Cricetulus griseus: one gene and its partner. The protein of the gene in region 1 interacts with the protein of each later gene in a biochemical or structural test. Links are inferred from orthologs where the notes say so. Each region holds a gene or a part of one and is shown on either strand. Other genes may lie near its edges.

The links. The genes of interacting proteins can lie anywhere in the genome.
Region 2: of the proteins of Prkaa1 (region 1) and Rack1, one has a biochemical effect on the other in vitro, tested with the Homo sapiens proteins (2 studies listed by BioGRID). The link is inferred for Cricetulus griseus from reciprocal best matches to the Homo sapiens genes PRKAA1 and RACK1.

What each region holds. Positions count from the first base shown.
Region 1 is NC_048595.1:339,152,269-339,160,105, forward strand, and holds part of Prkaa1 (5'-AMP-activated protein kinase catalytic subunit alpha-1), read left to right. Parts: intron 1-791; coding exon 792-1,016; intron 1,017-2,911; coding exon 2,912-3,398; intron 3,399-3,508; coding exon 3,509-3,635; intron 3,636-5,817; coding exon 5,818-6,062; 3' UTR 6,063-7,837. UniProt on the Homo sapiens protein: Catalytic subunit of AMP-activated protein kinase (AMPK), an energy sensor protein kinase that plays a key role in regulating cellular energy metabolism.
Region 2 is NC_048600.1:63,455,439-63,463,375, forward strand, and holds the start of Rack1 (receptor of activated protein C kinase 1), read left to right. Parts: upstream 1-3,113; 5' UTR 3,114-3,235; coding exon 3,236-3,344; intron 3,345-3,619; exon of another isoform or gene 3,620-3,687; intron 3,688-4,344; coding exon 4,345-4,516; intron 4,517-4,765; exon of another isoform or gene 4,766-4,845; intron 4,846-5,000; coding exon 5,001-5,148; intron 5,149-5,581; exon of another isoform or gene 5,582-5,649; intron 5,650-5,827; coding exon 5,828-5,923; intron 5,924-6,239; coding exon 6,240-6,350; intron 6,351-6,785; coding exon 6,786-6,926; intron 6,927-7,802; coding exon 7,803-7,913; intron 7,914-7,937. UniProt on the Homo sapiens protein: Scaffolding protein involved in the recruitment, assembly and/or regulation of a variety of signaling molecules. Interacts with a wide variety of proteins and plays a role in many cellular processes.

The sequences.
Region 1 (7,837 bases):
GGAACTGGGATTGATATGTAAAATAAGATTGCATTTAAATAAAAAAGTTGTGTGTGTGTGTGGGGAGATACTTATCTCCAGAGTGCTTCAAGGAGAAGTTTAAAGTACTCTGTGAATTCCACTTACTTTGGCTTGCTCTACAGCCTCAAGCTCTTGAATTTTGATGTGAGGGTTTTAGGAGAAATGGGTGAAATGGGTTCAGAGTCAGGCACTACAGAATTGAATCTTGGTCCAGTGAGATGACTCAGCTGGGAAAGCGCTTCCTGCCAAGTGTGATGACCAGAGTTTGATCCCTGAAACTTACTTAAAGGTCGAAGGAGAGAACTGACTCCACAACTTGTCATTCACCTCCACACTCACTGTGGGTGTGCACAGATATACACATGGCACATACACATTTTACCGCATGCGCGCGTGTGCACACACACATGCGCACATGGAATAAAATTTATTTTAAAAAAGTATCTTATCTCCATGGCTCAAATTCAACATTGATCATGAGCCTTATTGGGTTTTATTGATAGGACCCTTTAAGGGTCATAGTAAGGCAGTAAAACAATTTTACCCATGGCTCAATATTGACAAAACACCATAACTTGTAAAAGGCAATACTGGTAACATTAACATCTTTATGTATGATGTGCAGCAGTTGCTATAAATACCATATTCTGATCACTCATTTCTTTGAAAATGATTTTCTTGTATTTATTCTTCATAAAATACTTGTATTTGAAGAATGTTGAGTAGTGCATTCGGCTGTTGTGATTAATGCAGCTGCCTTCCCTATTCAGATTGTATGCAGGCCCTGAGGTGGATATCTGGAGCAGTGGGGTCATTCTCTATGCCTTGTTATGTGGAACCCTCCCCTTTGATGATGACCACGTGCCAACTCTTTTTAAGAAGATATGCGATGGGATTTTCTATACCCCTCAGTATTTAAATCCCTCTGTGATCAGCCTTTTGAAGCATATGCTGCAGGTAGATCCCATGAAGAGGGCCACAATAAAAGACATCAGGTAACTTTAAACCAGTGTACTTTTCTACCTCTTTGAGTCTCAAGATAAAATTTCATTTTATTAATGACGTATTTTTTTTCTAGCAGTACACTTTGAGTCATAGGAAATTGAGTTTTATAGATAATGTTGCATTGTGTGTGGTTGAACCTCATAGTTTACGTAAGGCGGAACTGATGGTGGCAGATATACGTTTCTCAAGTTGAGGTGAGCCATTTCTCATGAACACTCAGAGTACCTAATGGAGTCTTTGTTCTGCCATCAATGTTGTCTTATCCCCCTCCCTTTTTGTTCTCCTTAATTCTTTGAGATTCTGATGGCTAGACTGTACATTTTTCTGGTACTGGAGGAAGGAAGGAAGGAAGGAAGGATAGAAGGAAGGAAGAGAAGGAAGGGAGGGAGGGAGGGAGGGAGGGAGGGAGGGAGGGAGGGAGGGAAAAAGAAAGAAAGAAATGAAGGAAGGAAAACTGTATGCCTGTAGGAGTTAATAAATAAGAAAGCCTTGGGGTAACCAGGAAGAGCGGGAAGAGACTAACATGTGAATTTAAGCTTTATTCCTTTCCACTTACCCCTCATGCTAAAAGTCCTGCTGAAGCTAGGCAGTGGTGACATACACCTTTAATCCCAGTACTCGGGAAGTAGAGGCAGTTGGAACTCTGTGAGTTCAAGGCCAGCCTGGTCTACAGAGTTTGTTCAAGACAGCCAGGGCTATATAGAGAGACCCTGCCTGCTGAAAAGGAGATCCCAAGTGGCAGGGCATGGCTTTAGCTCCCAGATGGGAAGGGAAACTGGTTCTATTAAATTGATGTTGTAAAATATCCAAGTGAGAAGTAGATTTGCATGTTTTAGGTATTTTTTTCATAATTAAAATCTGATAGAAATGCTACGCATGGTGGCACACAGCCATAATTCCAGTACTTGGGAAGCTGAAGGAGGATGGCAGTGAGTTTGATTCCAGCCTGGTCTACATGGTGAGATTCTGTCTCAAGACCAGTCTCCATTTGGAAACAAACAAATGCCCTTAAAATTACAAAACAAAACAAAACAAAACAAAAACAAGAGAATAAAATAATACTTTTGGTCAGTTTCTTAGACAATAACCATTATTCTTTGGGGTATTTTCTTCTGTGTTTTGGTGTTGTTTTCATTTTCATTTTTGTTTTTTAAGTTTTAGCATAGTTCTTGATATGGTTCAATATCCATTTATATGTGCAGTTAAATGATATAATAGGGAATCATTCAGAGAATAGCCTTTTGAGTCATACAGAATTGGGTCATGAGGATGAGGATAAATTTTATGTGTATGAATTGCTTAGCCTGAAACTAATTATACAGTAAGAAGTTTTTTTTTTTTTTTTTTTCATGTAACATGAGGCAGTATAAACAAGAGAATACAGTGAAGCTACACAACATAGTTTCTTTCTGAGCTGGAAAAAAATCTGTACTTTGTCATTGTCATTTGGGTAGACATACCTTTTCATTTGGCTGCAGCAATCCTTAAAAATTAGTGCCAGGGCCGGGCAGTGGTGCTGCATGCCTTTAATCTCAGCACTCGGGAGGCAGAGGCAGGTGGATCTCTGTGAGTTTGAGGCCAGCTTGGTCTATTGAGTGAGTTTCAGGACAGTCAGGGTTATACAGAGAAACCCTGTATTAATGCCGAGCCCCCCCCCCCCCCGCCGCCTCTCCCCCCCAAAAAAACCCCTAGCAGCAGGCTACAACATTTTTCTCAACATACTCAGTGAAGTATGAGCTAGAAGAAGAAAAAGTTAAAAAAAAAATGGTAGTAATATAGTGTGGGTAGAAATTAAATTAATTCATTTCTTAAACTCTTGAAAGTTATTGTTTTTATTCTTGGTTTTACTCAAAATTCTTCCCCTCACACTGCTGTTTCCTCTTAGGGAACATGAATGGTTTAAACAGGACCTTCCAAAATATCTCTTTCCGGAGGATCCATCATACAGTTCAACCATGATTGATGATGAAGCCTTAAAAGAAGTGTGTGAAAAGTTTGAATGTTCGGAGGAGGAGGTTCTCAGCTGCCTTTACAATAGAAACCACCAGGACCCATTGGCAGTTGCCTACCACCTCATAATTGATAACAGGAGGATAATGAACGAAGCCAAAGATTTCTACTTGGCAACAAGCCCACCTGATTCTTTCCTAGACGACCACCATTTAACTCGGCCACATCCTGAAAGGGTACCATTCTTGGTTGCTGAAACACCAAGGGCACGGCACACCCTTGATGAATTAAACCCACAGAAATCCAAACACCAAGGTGTGCGGAAAGCAAAGTGGCATTTGGGAATTAGAAGTCAAAGTCGGCCAAATGATATTATGGCAGAAGTTTGTAGAGCAATCAAGCAATTGGATTATGAATGGAAGGTAAGAAGGCAAGCATTCTACCTAACACATTTGGGAAACCTGCAGACAAAAAGTCTTTTGTAGAAGAATTGATTGGATGTGCCTTTGTTTTTGTCCATATCATATGCTAGGTTGTAAACCCCTATTATTTGCGTGTACGAAGGAAGAACCCCGTGACAAGCACATTTTCCAAAATGAGTCTACAGCTATACCAAGTGGATAGTCGGACTTACTTACTGGATTTCCGTAGTATTGATGGTATGTACACAAAAACCCATAGAGGTAATATGGTATACCTGTTTAACTAATTTGGTTTATAGTTTTTTCTTTTCTTTTGTTTTGAATTAAAACTAAGCATGAAAAGTAGTAAGTTCCTCCCTCCCTCCCTCCCCCTCCCCCTTTTCCTCACCCACCCATGTGTACATGGGGTGAGGGCAGCAGAGGTCAATGTCAGCTGCCTTCTCCATCACTCTCCATCTTACTTTTGAGATAAGGCCTCTTTCCAAACAGGAGGTTGCCCCTTAGGCTAGACTTACTGGCCTGCAAGCCCCAGGGATCCTCTCATTTCCAGCCTTCAGTGTTGGGGTTATAGATGTGCACCTCCTGGCCTGGCTTTTACATAGGTGCCGAGGATTGGAATTGAGGTCCTTATGCAGTGCGGCAGGCTCTTTATCTACCAAGTCATCTCCCTAGCCTCCAGTATGATACTTTCATACAGATACTTTGTTTTTAATCATCCTCCCCCACTGCCCTCTCCATCTTCAACCTTTGTGTCTAATGAAACTTCCTGGCTTTTTCCTGGGAAGTAATAGTAAATGTGACTTCTGTGCTCCATGACACCGACAACTGTGAATCCTGTTATTCTTGTTCCATGTAGTACATTGTTCTTTTACAGTTCATCATCCCGGGGCTAGGAATTTAGTTCAGTAGTGAAGTTCTTGTCTAGCATACACAAAACACTGTCTTCAATCACCACTCCCATCTCTCCCAAGGTAGAAAATGATTATTGTCCTGTAAAATCTTTAAAAATATACAGCTTAATTCTAAAGTGATAATTTTCTTTCATATTTCTGTTGCTTTGTTCATTCTGGCAACATAAATTTTTTATTGAAAAGCAAAGGTTGATGTTACTGTAGTTTTATTTACTATTAAGTACTTTAAGAAAATAAATACAAGATTATGGCTGTCCTTCCAAATCAGTTAACCAGTATTATGGGAGGATATTTAGAATTACTACTTACAGACTCAAAGTCAGCACCTACAGAGTTTAAGAAAGACAAAGGCTTGAGCTGTGATATATTCTGGCCAACATGATGGAATGGTTATTTACTTTTGAGAAAGGGTCTTCTATGTAGGCTGGCCTGGTTTGGAGGGACAGTCCTCTTTGTTTCATCTCTGAGTGCTGGTTACAGGTGTGCACCATGCTCAGATGTCTGGATAACATGTACCTGTCATCTAACACACATCAGTACAGTTTGAGGTCGGGAGCCAGCTTTATTTTTCTCTTGGTATTTAGATAATTTTGCAGTCATAGTTATATCAACTCTTGGACTTGACCAAGTGAATGAATACTTACTATTTCTATATTTCTGCTCTAGTACTATTTCTACTTGTATTCTGTTCCCAACTAGTTTCTCTTTGATTTCACTTTTAGTGTTACTTTTGTGGTGCTAGAGATGAATCCAGGCCTTTTCAATAAGCTCTAGCCCCAGCCCTCTTTTTACTTGTTATTTTGAAGGAAGGTCTCACAAGTTACCCAGGTTGTCCTTGAACTCTCTAGCTCAGGTAGGCCTTGAACTTATGACCCTCCTGCTTTAGCTTCCTGAGTAGCTGGGATTGAAGGCCTGTACCACTAGTCCCTGCTTTTCTGGTTTTGCTTATTGCAATTGTTGCTCTGTTATGCTCGCAGATGAAATAGGAGAAACTGCAGAGTGAAAAGCACTGAACTGAAGTTGGGAGGGTAGAGTGCCCAAATGGCCGAACCTTTCTGTTCATTTGTTTCCTTGAACAAATCATTGTTTTCTCTGGCTTTGTTTTATATTAGTAAAATGGTTCTTGGCTGAGATGATTTCCAAGATATCATCCATATTTCAAGAGATTGATTCTGTGCTTTTAATAGAAAAGACTTTTAGTGGTAGGGGATTTTTTTTTTTTTTAAATTAAAACTCAGGTTATTAGTTTCCTGGCTCTTAGTGTAAAAGTCAAGAGTGATAGATTGTGTACCCTGTGTGAACTGGTCATCCATCATAGGCATTCTCCATGCTGTGTGGAGAAACTGTGAGTGAGTGGCTTAATCCAGGCACAGTACCCCCATTTGAGAATGTATTTAAATTACACATGCTCTGGGGAGCTAGTCAGTAGTCTCACTTAAAGAATCTGATCCATACTGTTGGACCTCTCAAGGGACAAATAGTAACATGTGGGAATTCTTTTCACCCAGATGAAATAACAGAAGCCAAATCAGGGACGGCTACTCCACAGAGATCGGGATCCATCAGCAACTATCGGTCTTGCCAAAGGAGTGACTCTGATGCTGAGGCTCAAGGAAAGCCGTCAGAAGTTTCTCTTACCTCATCTGTGACCTCACTCGACTCTTCTCCGGTTGACTTAGCTCCAAGACCAGGAAGTCACACAATAGAATTTTTTGAAATGTGTGCAAATCTAATTAAAATTCTTGCACAGTAAACCTAAAACTTTGCTTATTTCTTTGATGCAATAAGCATGCATAATAAATTATAGCCAAACACTTCCACTTATCAAGTTTTACATATATATATATGTGTGTATATATATATACATATATATATGCATATATCTAAGGATTGGCCTTTGGAATGCAGTTTGCACAGGGATTGGAAAATGATAAAAGCCTAATGTGCGGAAATGAATTGGGACCATTCTGTTGTCCCTTATTCAATAGATATATACAGCAAAATATATACAGAATGGATTGTAGGTCTCACTTGATTTTTGACCATTTTAATTTGGTGTAACAGGGCTTTGTAGGCCATAAATTTACCATAAAAGCCTTCACATATGTTGATGTGTTTTATATTTGCTTCATGAATTAATTATTTGCCTAGAATTCCCCATAGACCTTCTTAAGTGATGCTGTTTTCTGGGCTCCTTAGCTTCTTAAATAGCTACTATTTCCATTTCTGGTAACATTGTGAACGATTTCCACAACATTAAAATGCTGTTTTGTGTGGTAAGTCATACCAGATACAGACTCAATTTAAATCTTTTCTTTAGCTTGTAAGCCCCCAAATCCATAGAATTTATGTATTCAGAAACCCTGAGCCCTAAGTTTACTTCTACAATTTCCCCCTTTGATTTGTATATGAAGTGCTGCTTTGGATCCAAGAGTGGAGTTGCTCATACTGTACTGAATCATGTTTTTTCACTGTCATGGATTCTTCTGGCTGTCATGCCAGCCACTGTTGAATGTCATTTGATTGTATATTTTTAATATTGATTCAGTGCATAGAAAGGACATTTTTTATAAGCTTTGAATACGTGGATTGGATTTTTGACCCCTGATTTTATTCTGGACATTTAAAAAAAAAATACAGTGATCGCATGTATGTCTACTACTTAGTTCCAACAACTCCTATTTGGCTGCATTTGCTCTCTAGATGCACATATGTACAAAAACAGATATGCATATATGTTTGAATGTATGTATGCTTTTGTTCTGAACCACTGAGATGTTAAGAAACACATACTCAGTCCTAAATACTTAAGCATCTCCTAAAAATAATATTGTCCTTTAAGAAACTCTTGAATGCATTATAAAACGAGTAATTTCCAGACAGTGAATGGCCTTCCATATTTATCTCTTAACTGTCCAGAATCCCGTTTATATTTACAGTCTCATTTCAGCTCTATCTCTTTAATCAGGTAAATAATATTCTGAAAAGGTGGAGAAGGGATCAGTTCTTAAAATGGTCAAGTTTATTTCAGGTTTTACTTTTAAAAAATTAGTGGCTATAGAAGTAATATCTTTCTTAGATCTCTGATTTCTATGCCTCTCCTCTTTCAGTGACAGCACAGCATTTGAGTTGTAAATGAAGATTTAAAGTCAGGGAAGATGAAGCTTGGTGTTTTATGAGCAAATAATGTCTTATTGTCCACATTTGGCTTCTATTGAAGTTTAAGAAATTGGGTATGAGGCTCTAGCTCAGTGGTGGTGTTTGTCTAGGATGCACCCAGCATCCTGGGTTTGATCCCAGCAATGCAAAAATACATTTTCTTTAAACATTAATCATTTTCCCTTTGCAGGAGAGATATTTTTTTCACTATATTTATTTTAATCCCCCTCACCCCCCAATGTGTTGAGCACTTACGTAACCAGAAGGGAATGAATTTGGAGGTCATGATAGCTTGGTTTATGCACTGAATTCCAAACAAAGATTATGATTCTTTTGTTCAGGGCTTGTTTTATTCAACTCCAATTTGGA
Region 2 (7,937 bases), on another chromosome or scaffold:
GTCTCAGTCCGGGTCTCACAATCCTAGGAAAGAAGGTGGTACCTGAGGGTGGCAGAGATAGAGCAAGGTAGTGGTAGGCAGGGACTCTGTGAAAGGCAGAGTCTCTGTGGGCAAGGCTGCCCCACACACACCCCGCCCCCAACCTCCAGTTCCTGGGAAAAGGATCTGCAGCAGTCCCATCCATCTCAGGCATCCCAGGAAGGTCTGGGAAGCATTCATTTTAAACTTAGACTTCCAGGCTAGCTCAGAAATGCTGATTCTTTTGGACGTCCTAGGGAGAGATCAAGAAAAAAAACAGGTAACAGGGCTTGGTGGAGCAGGCCTCTGATTTTAGTAGTAGGATGGTAAAGGTCAGCCAGAGAGCTGCACAGTGACACCCTATCTTGGGAAGGGGATGAAGAGAGGAAAAGAGGGCGGTAAGGGAGGAAGAGGAAAAAAAGAAAGGAAGCAAAGGGTCTGGGCCAGGCATTGGTGGCCCACACCTTTAATCCCAGCACTGGGGAGGCAGAGGCAGGCAGATTTCAGTGAGTTCGAGGCCAGCCTGTTGTACAAAATGAGTTCCAGGATAGCCAGGACTGTTACGCAGAGAAACCTGATCTTTATTTTTTAAATATCCCCCCCCCGCTTTTTTTTTAAGATTTTATTTATTTATTATGTATACAACTTTCTGCTTCCATGTATATCTGCACACAAGAAGAGGGTACCAGATCTCATTAAAGATAGTTGTAAGCTACTATGTGATTGCTGTGAATTGAACTCAGGACCTCTGGAAGAGCAGACAGTGCTCTTAACCCTTGAGCCATCTCTCCAGCCCCCTAAGAAACCCTGTCTTGAAAAGGAAAGAAAAAAGAAAGAAAGGAAGGGAGAGGGAGAGAGAGAGAGAGAGAGAGAGAGAGAGAGGGAGGGAGGGAGGGAGGGAGGGAGGGAGGAGAGGGAGGAAGGAAGGAAGGAAGGAAGGAAGGAAGGAGTATGAGATGTAGCTCACTGGCAGCATGCTTGTCTAGCAAGACAGTCTAGATTCAATCCCCAAGACCAGAGGAAAAAGAGAATGACTTTTTTTTCCAAAGGGAAATAAATGTCAGTTCATCGAAAGGAAGCTAGAATGTGGGTGTAGTGATTCACCTTTCTATTTACGAAAAGCAGTACAGAGACACAGAAAGGTGCTAGCATGACCCACCTAAAGGGCAGCAAACTGATTATGGGGTGAGTAAGGACAGGTGACTTCCAGGACCACCACAGAAACAAAACAATAGAAAATGAAAGTCATTCAGTTGGGTTTACCAAGGACACAGGTGATATATAACCTTAGGGTCCTAAAAAGACACTCATCAGGCTGTAAAGGAACACATCTAGGACAGCACCCTGTGTAGTCCAGAGAGTCGGGAAGGAGCGGGGGGGGGGGGGGGGGGGGGGGGGGGGGGGGGGGGGGGGGGGGGGGCGGGGGCCTGCAAGAGGCCCAGAAAGCAAGTGGCCTTAAGTGAGAAGCCCTAGTCTTTGCACAGCTGGGCAACCACAGGGTGCAGCAGCCTTGCCACTATACTCGCCTAACATGTTCCTTTCCAAATGCCTTCAATGTACCTTGCTCAGCGCTTACCCTAATCTAGCAGGTTCTGTGCCAACTCTCACTGTTCAGCCCTCATATACCAGTCAAGAACCTTTGCAATAGAACATGATCACAGGAGATTGCTTTCGCATCTGCCTATGTCTTTACTCCAAACTTCACTTTTTTTATTTTTGGTTTTTGGAGACAGGGTTTCTCTGTGTAACATTCTTAGCTGCCCAGGAAATCACTCTGTAGGATAGGCTGGCCTCAAACTCATTGAGATCCGCCTGCCTCTGCCTCCCGAGTGCTGGGATTAAAGACATGCGCCACCACCACCCAGCTCCCTACTTCACTCTTAACCACATTGCCTTACTCTACCACAAGATGTAAATTATTGCAAACAAAATGGCCATCTGGCTTTTTCTTTCTTTCTTCTGTTCATAGCTGTATCCTAAAGCCTAAAACAGCAGTTCAGCAACAGAACTAAAATAAATAAATGTGACCTTTAGTTCATAGATGTTAGTGGTTGCTACCATCCTAACTGGTGGTCCTTTTTAAAAATATTTAAACTGGAGAGATGGCTAAGAGGTTGAAAGCACTGGCTGTTGTTCTTCAAGAGGTCCAGAGTTCAATTCCCAGCAACCACAAGGTGGCTCACTACCATCCATAACGAGATTTGCTCTCTTCTGGCGTGCAGGAACATATGCAGGCAGAACACTATATGGATAAATAAATTTAAAAATTAAAAAAAAAATAGGCGGGCTGGGCGTTGGTGGCGCACGCCTTTAATCCCAGCACTAGGGAGGCAGAGGCAGGCGGATCTCTTGGAATTCGAGACCAGCCTGGTCTACAGAGTGAGTTCCAGGATAGGCTCCAAAGCCACAGAGAAACCCTGTCTCGAAACCCAATTCCCCCCCAAAAAAACCAAACAAACGAAAAAAAAAAGTTGTAAAATTTAAGGAGAGATCTGTGACATCGGAGGGCCACTGCAAACTTAAGTGTTGAGATTAAGGTCATCAGGTTACCAAATTATCAGTGTTCCTCCGCTTCCCTGTCCAGCCACTTCTTTCAGGGCTACACAAGACAAACTAGCAGGCTTTTCTGTGGAATGGTCAGAGTCACAGAAAGGGATTCCAATAAAAATCCCTTAAAACAAAAGGGCCAGATTGGACGGCACACGCCTTTAATTGCAACTTCAAATATACTTCCTTAGGTCATAGCTTAAATCGGAGTCGCCAACCCAGGAACCGGAACACCAAGCGAAAAGGGCGGGGCGCCGTCTCTGCCACGTAGCCGGGGAGGGAGGAGCCGCTGCAGTATGGCGATGAGCCGGTCGTCTTACTTTTCCTTCCTGAACACGTACTAATCTGCCGAGGAGCCTTTATTAAAACCCAGTAAAGCTTACTTAAGAACGCATTTGTTCAGCAGTCGCCAAATTATGTTCCGTGGCAGAAGAAACGGCGACATTGCGACTTACCGCGCCCAGCCCCTCCCACTACCTGGTGACGCCATCTTTGAGCAGCAGGGAATCATGGGAACCCCCGCCTTGCTCTCCGGGTATTTCCGGTTCCGCCGGAGGCCGCTCTTTCTTTTTCTCCGCGGCGTCGCTGTGGCTGCCGCTGTGGTGCTTGGCTCTCTGAGCTATCCGGTGCCATCCTTGTCGCTGCGGCGACACTCGTATCAGCTGCAGCCATGACGGAGCAGATGACCCTTCGTGGGACCCTCAAAGGCCATAACGGCTGGGTAACACAGATCGCCACCACCCCGCAGTTCCCAGACATGATTCTGTCTGCGTCTCGAGGTACGGGCTGCATGCCGGGCGAAATAGCGCGTTTCCCGGGGACTGCGCGTCTCCTGGCTTCGCAGGTGGCGCGTGGGTTGGCTGGCTTGGTCCATTCCCCCACCCAGTTATGAGTTGGGGCGTGCAGACCCGAACCTGGGCCCCAACTAGGGCGACCCTTTGCACATGGACGGAAACCGAGAGGTGTCGCATAACTCCCATAAGATTAGGTGACTAAATCTCTTCGTCTGTCTTCTCGAGATATATTTAAGTAGTTAGGGAGCTACAAGCCAGGCGGAGCAATGATGACCCCAACATGCCATCTGAGCTACTTTGCTGAAATCCAGAGGCTGTTTCTGAGCTGCCGTCTGGCCCTGAGCTCTGAGCAGTGCGTAAACTAAGGCTTTTTATTTTTCCTCATGACTTATCTTTATCATGATTTGCCCACCCAGGTCTCCCTATCTGCCCAAATTTATGTTCATTCTCGTGTGAAGCTTATCAGGCACTTTATTCGTTTCTGTATGGTTTGACATGGTGCATGGCTAGGACTGTCTTATTCTACCATAGCTACTGCATTTCTAGTCAACCCTTAAAGGCACAAAAGGTGGTCTGCTTATCCCACACCCAAGTGACTTTGCTACTTTTGAGTTAGCCTTGTGCTGGAGTGATGATAGATAAAACTGGCTCCTCAAGGGGACTAGGTAAGGTTTGTTTCCCAGAACCCACATGGTGACTTGCAATTGTAGGTAGTTACAGGGAATCTGACACCCTCTTCTAAAAACAACATGGGCACACATGGAGGGGAAACATTCAACACAAATTAATCTTGGGTTGGATTTGAGTTTCAATCCCAGCAAGTGTGGTACCCCATAGTCTCGGGTGTGCCTTACATCTTTTCAGTTCCTCTCACTGAATGTAGTGATGCTCCCCTTGTTATTACACCAGTAACCGTAAAGCACTGTAAATTATGCCCAGTATATAGGTGTGGGTGCCTATGTAATTTCTTCCCCAACCTTTTCAGACAAGACCATCATCATGTGGAAGCTAACCAGGGACGAGACCAACTATGGCATACCACAGCGTGCGCTTCGAGGTCACTCCCATTTTGTCAGTGATGTCGTTATCTCCTCTGATGGCCAGTTTGCCCTCTCAGGCTCCTGGGATGGAACACTGCGCCTCTGGGATCTCACAACGCAAGTAGCTGCTTTGGGACCTTGGGGGAGAGCTGGGCAAAATTGAGGTAGATTCCCGAGGGTGTGGTCTCCCTCGGAAATTGGTTTTTTTATGGAGGGTGGGGTAAGATGTTGGTGTTGACCTCTTTGAGGAGGGAGCTAGAGGGCTGTCGTGTAGTTGGAGCGTTTTTACCGGGTACCGCCAGCTGTTAAAATAAGTGTTTCATCTTGAAAGCTGTCCTAGATGAGCATTTGGCAGGTGTAATAGAGGATCCTAGTGATGACAAGAAGACATTGTCAACCAATCCCCACAAGGGAATGAGGACATGTCCTGCAATTCTGAATGGGTTCTCTGGCACATACCAAGAATGGGCTAATAATAGAACAAAGCCACATATAAGCTGTGTGGAGTGATAGAGCCTACTGGAGCAGCAATGTAGCCAAGAAAAGGGTCTGACTAAAAGGATAAGATTTGTCTAGAAAGTGACCAGGTTCTCCCATTTAGGGGCACCACCACGAGACGATTTGTAGGCCATACTAAGGATGTACTGAGTGTAGCCTTCTCCTCCGACAACCGGCAGATTGTGTCTGGATCTCGAGACAAGACCATAAAGTTATGGAATACTCTCGGTGTCTGCAAATACACTGTCCAGGTAAAGTGATGGAGGTAAAGGCTACAAGTTAGAGGTTATCTCCCAGCCCTTGGGGATTTTGTTGCAGTTTTGAGATGGTTCATTACTATGTAACCCTGCTTAGACTAGAACTTTGGTCTGCTTATTGCATGCTGGGATCAAAGCTGTGTGCCACCATCTAGCTCTTTTGTAATGTGTGGCATTTGTCTGGGATTTGGTTGGTTTTTACTATATATTTAATGCATTCTTGCTCATGAGTGGCTTGGGACTTGGGAGTTGATTTTTCTTCTGAGTTGGGGCATGGAACCCTAGGCCAAGGCATCTATTGGGCAGGCCCTTACACATGAGCAAATACCCAGATGTGTCCCATAACTTCCCTAAGGGTTAGGGGGTTTTAAAATCTCTACCTACCTCCTGGAAGTATGTTTAAGTACTTGGGGGCTACAAGCCAGGCAGAGCAGTGATGACTCCAACATGCCATCTGAGGTGCAGTGCTGAAATCCAGAGGCTGTTTCTGAGCTGTGCCTGGCACTGTGCTCCATGAGGAGGCATCCTAGGACTCAAATATGAATCAGCAGGCTTGACAAATGACTTTACCAACTGTTCTGTTGATCCAGAAGTATAGGTTTGCCAGAGAGTGCTGTTGCCCCACTTAGGGTAGTTATCTGTAGTCCTCTTACTTACCTTGCATCTTCTGTAGGATGAGAGTCATTCAGAATGGGTGTCTTGTGTCCGCTTCTCCCCGAACAGTAGCAACCCTATCATCGTCTCCTGTGGATGGGACAAGCTGGTCAAGGTGAGCTTCAACAATGGCCTGGCCCCATTAGAAATCTAAAAATGTTCCCATTCCTCTGAGATGGTAATCACTCCGGTTTGGAATGTTTTGCAAATTAAATTACCTTGGCTTTGGCTCTTGATGCTTTATCTAAGTTCATTAGGGATTGAGTTTGTTTTTGAGGCCAGATCTCACTCTGTATCTCTGATAGGCCTGTGTCAGCCACTCAAATATTGGGATTACATGCGCTTGCATAAAAACCTGTTATGAGTTACCTTTAAGGAAGATGCTATTCTTTCTTGTGGCCATAATCCTGGTCACTCACCTTTTTCCCTAGGTATGGAACTTGGCTAACTGCAAGCTGAAGACCAACCACATTGGCCACACTGGCTATCTGAACACAGTGACAGTCTCTCCAGATGGATCCCTCTGTGCTTCTGGAGGCAAGGTATTTAGGGGACCTCTGATCTTTATTTATGGAGAACACTTTCATCTGATAGCATGTACCAGTTAAAAGATGAGCTTAAAATGTGGGAATGTTTCTAAGGATTATCATAAAATATATAGAAAGGCATACCAAAGAAATTTTCCTTTAAAACTAAGTTGGTAGCTGAATAGATGGCTCTGGGATTAAGAGCACTGACTGTTCTCCCAGAGGTCCTGAGTTCAATTCCTAACAACTACATGGTGGCTCAAGACCATCTAATAAGATCTAGTGTCCTCTTCTGGATTAGGGCTACACACAGGCAAAACACACTGTATACATAAATAAAAGTAAGTTGATATACGTATTATACATTACAGGGAAGGTCTTAGGACCATGAACGCTGACACTTCAACCATTAGCTTTATCTATCCTAACTCACCATTTATGTCCGTCCAGGATGGCCAGGCTATGCTGTGGGATCTCAATGAAGGCAAGCACCTTTACACACTAGATGGTGGGGACATCATCAATGCCTTGTGCTTCAGCCCCAACCGCTACTGGCTCTGTGCTGCCACAGGCCCCAGTATCAAGATTTGGGTAAGTGATCTGTTGTGCACCACATTGATTTCAAGCTTTATTGGTAGATTCATCATTCAGCTGCTGTCAGTTGACAAGTTGGGATTATTTTTTCTTAACACTTAGCAGCACTGGGCAACATTTGACTAATAAAAGGGAATGCCCATATTTGGCAATTTGTTGAGTCATTTGGGCCAAAGTAATTCTCCTTTGAGAGGCTATTTTGTCAGCATATGTGGTATCTACTCACTAGATGACCATTAACAGTTACAGCCACACACCATGAAAGATAAGCAAAAATAATCCCAGTAGTGTGTAGCAGGTAGTAGAGCACTTAGCTAATGCATGAGAGGCATAAATCAAATCCCTACCACATGTGCCACTAGTATCAACTAAAAGACTGGGGATTCTATGTGGTATTTTTATGTTTTGGACAGTGTGTAACCCAGGCTGACCTTACATTTATGAGGAGTCATCTTGACTAAGTTACATGGTCAGATCTAGAACTTGGCAGTCTGCCTCAGCCTTCCAAGTAGCTCCAATTGTATAACTAAACCACTGGCCCTCTAAATGATTGTGGGTTGCTAGGGTGGGGGTTGATATTTCATATGTCCTTGAAAGAAAAAATAATCTGGAAATCTGAATTAGAAATAGGCTTTCCAAGTAGTTCATTACTGTCTGTGGTACAGGATAACTGGCCCATAGCCAGGGAATTCTGTCTCCTCCATAGTTTGAGGAATAAACTGTTTTAGGTGTCAAGCAAAGGCCCTTTAATTTGCCATCTTAAGGTCTCCATTTAAAAAAAAAAAAGCTATGGTATGACAACATACTACAGACCATAAAAGTCCATTGCATAATTGTTATGGGCATCCTTACCTGATTTTGGTTTGTTTTCAGGATTTGGAGGGCAAGATCATTGTAGATGAATTGAAGCAGGAAGTTATCAGCACCAGCAGCAAGGCAGAGCCACCCCAGTGTACCTCCCTGGCATGGTCTGCTGATGGCCAGGTAAGTACTTGATTCTGCCAACTC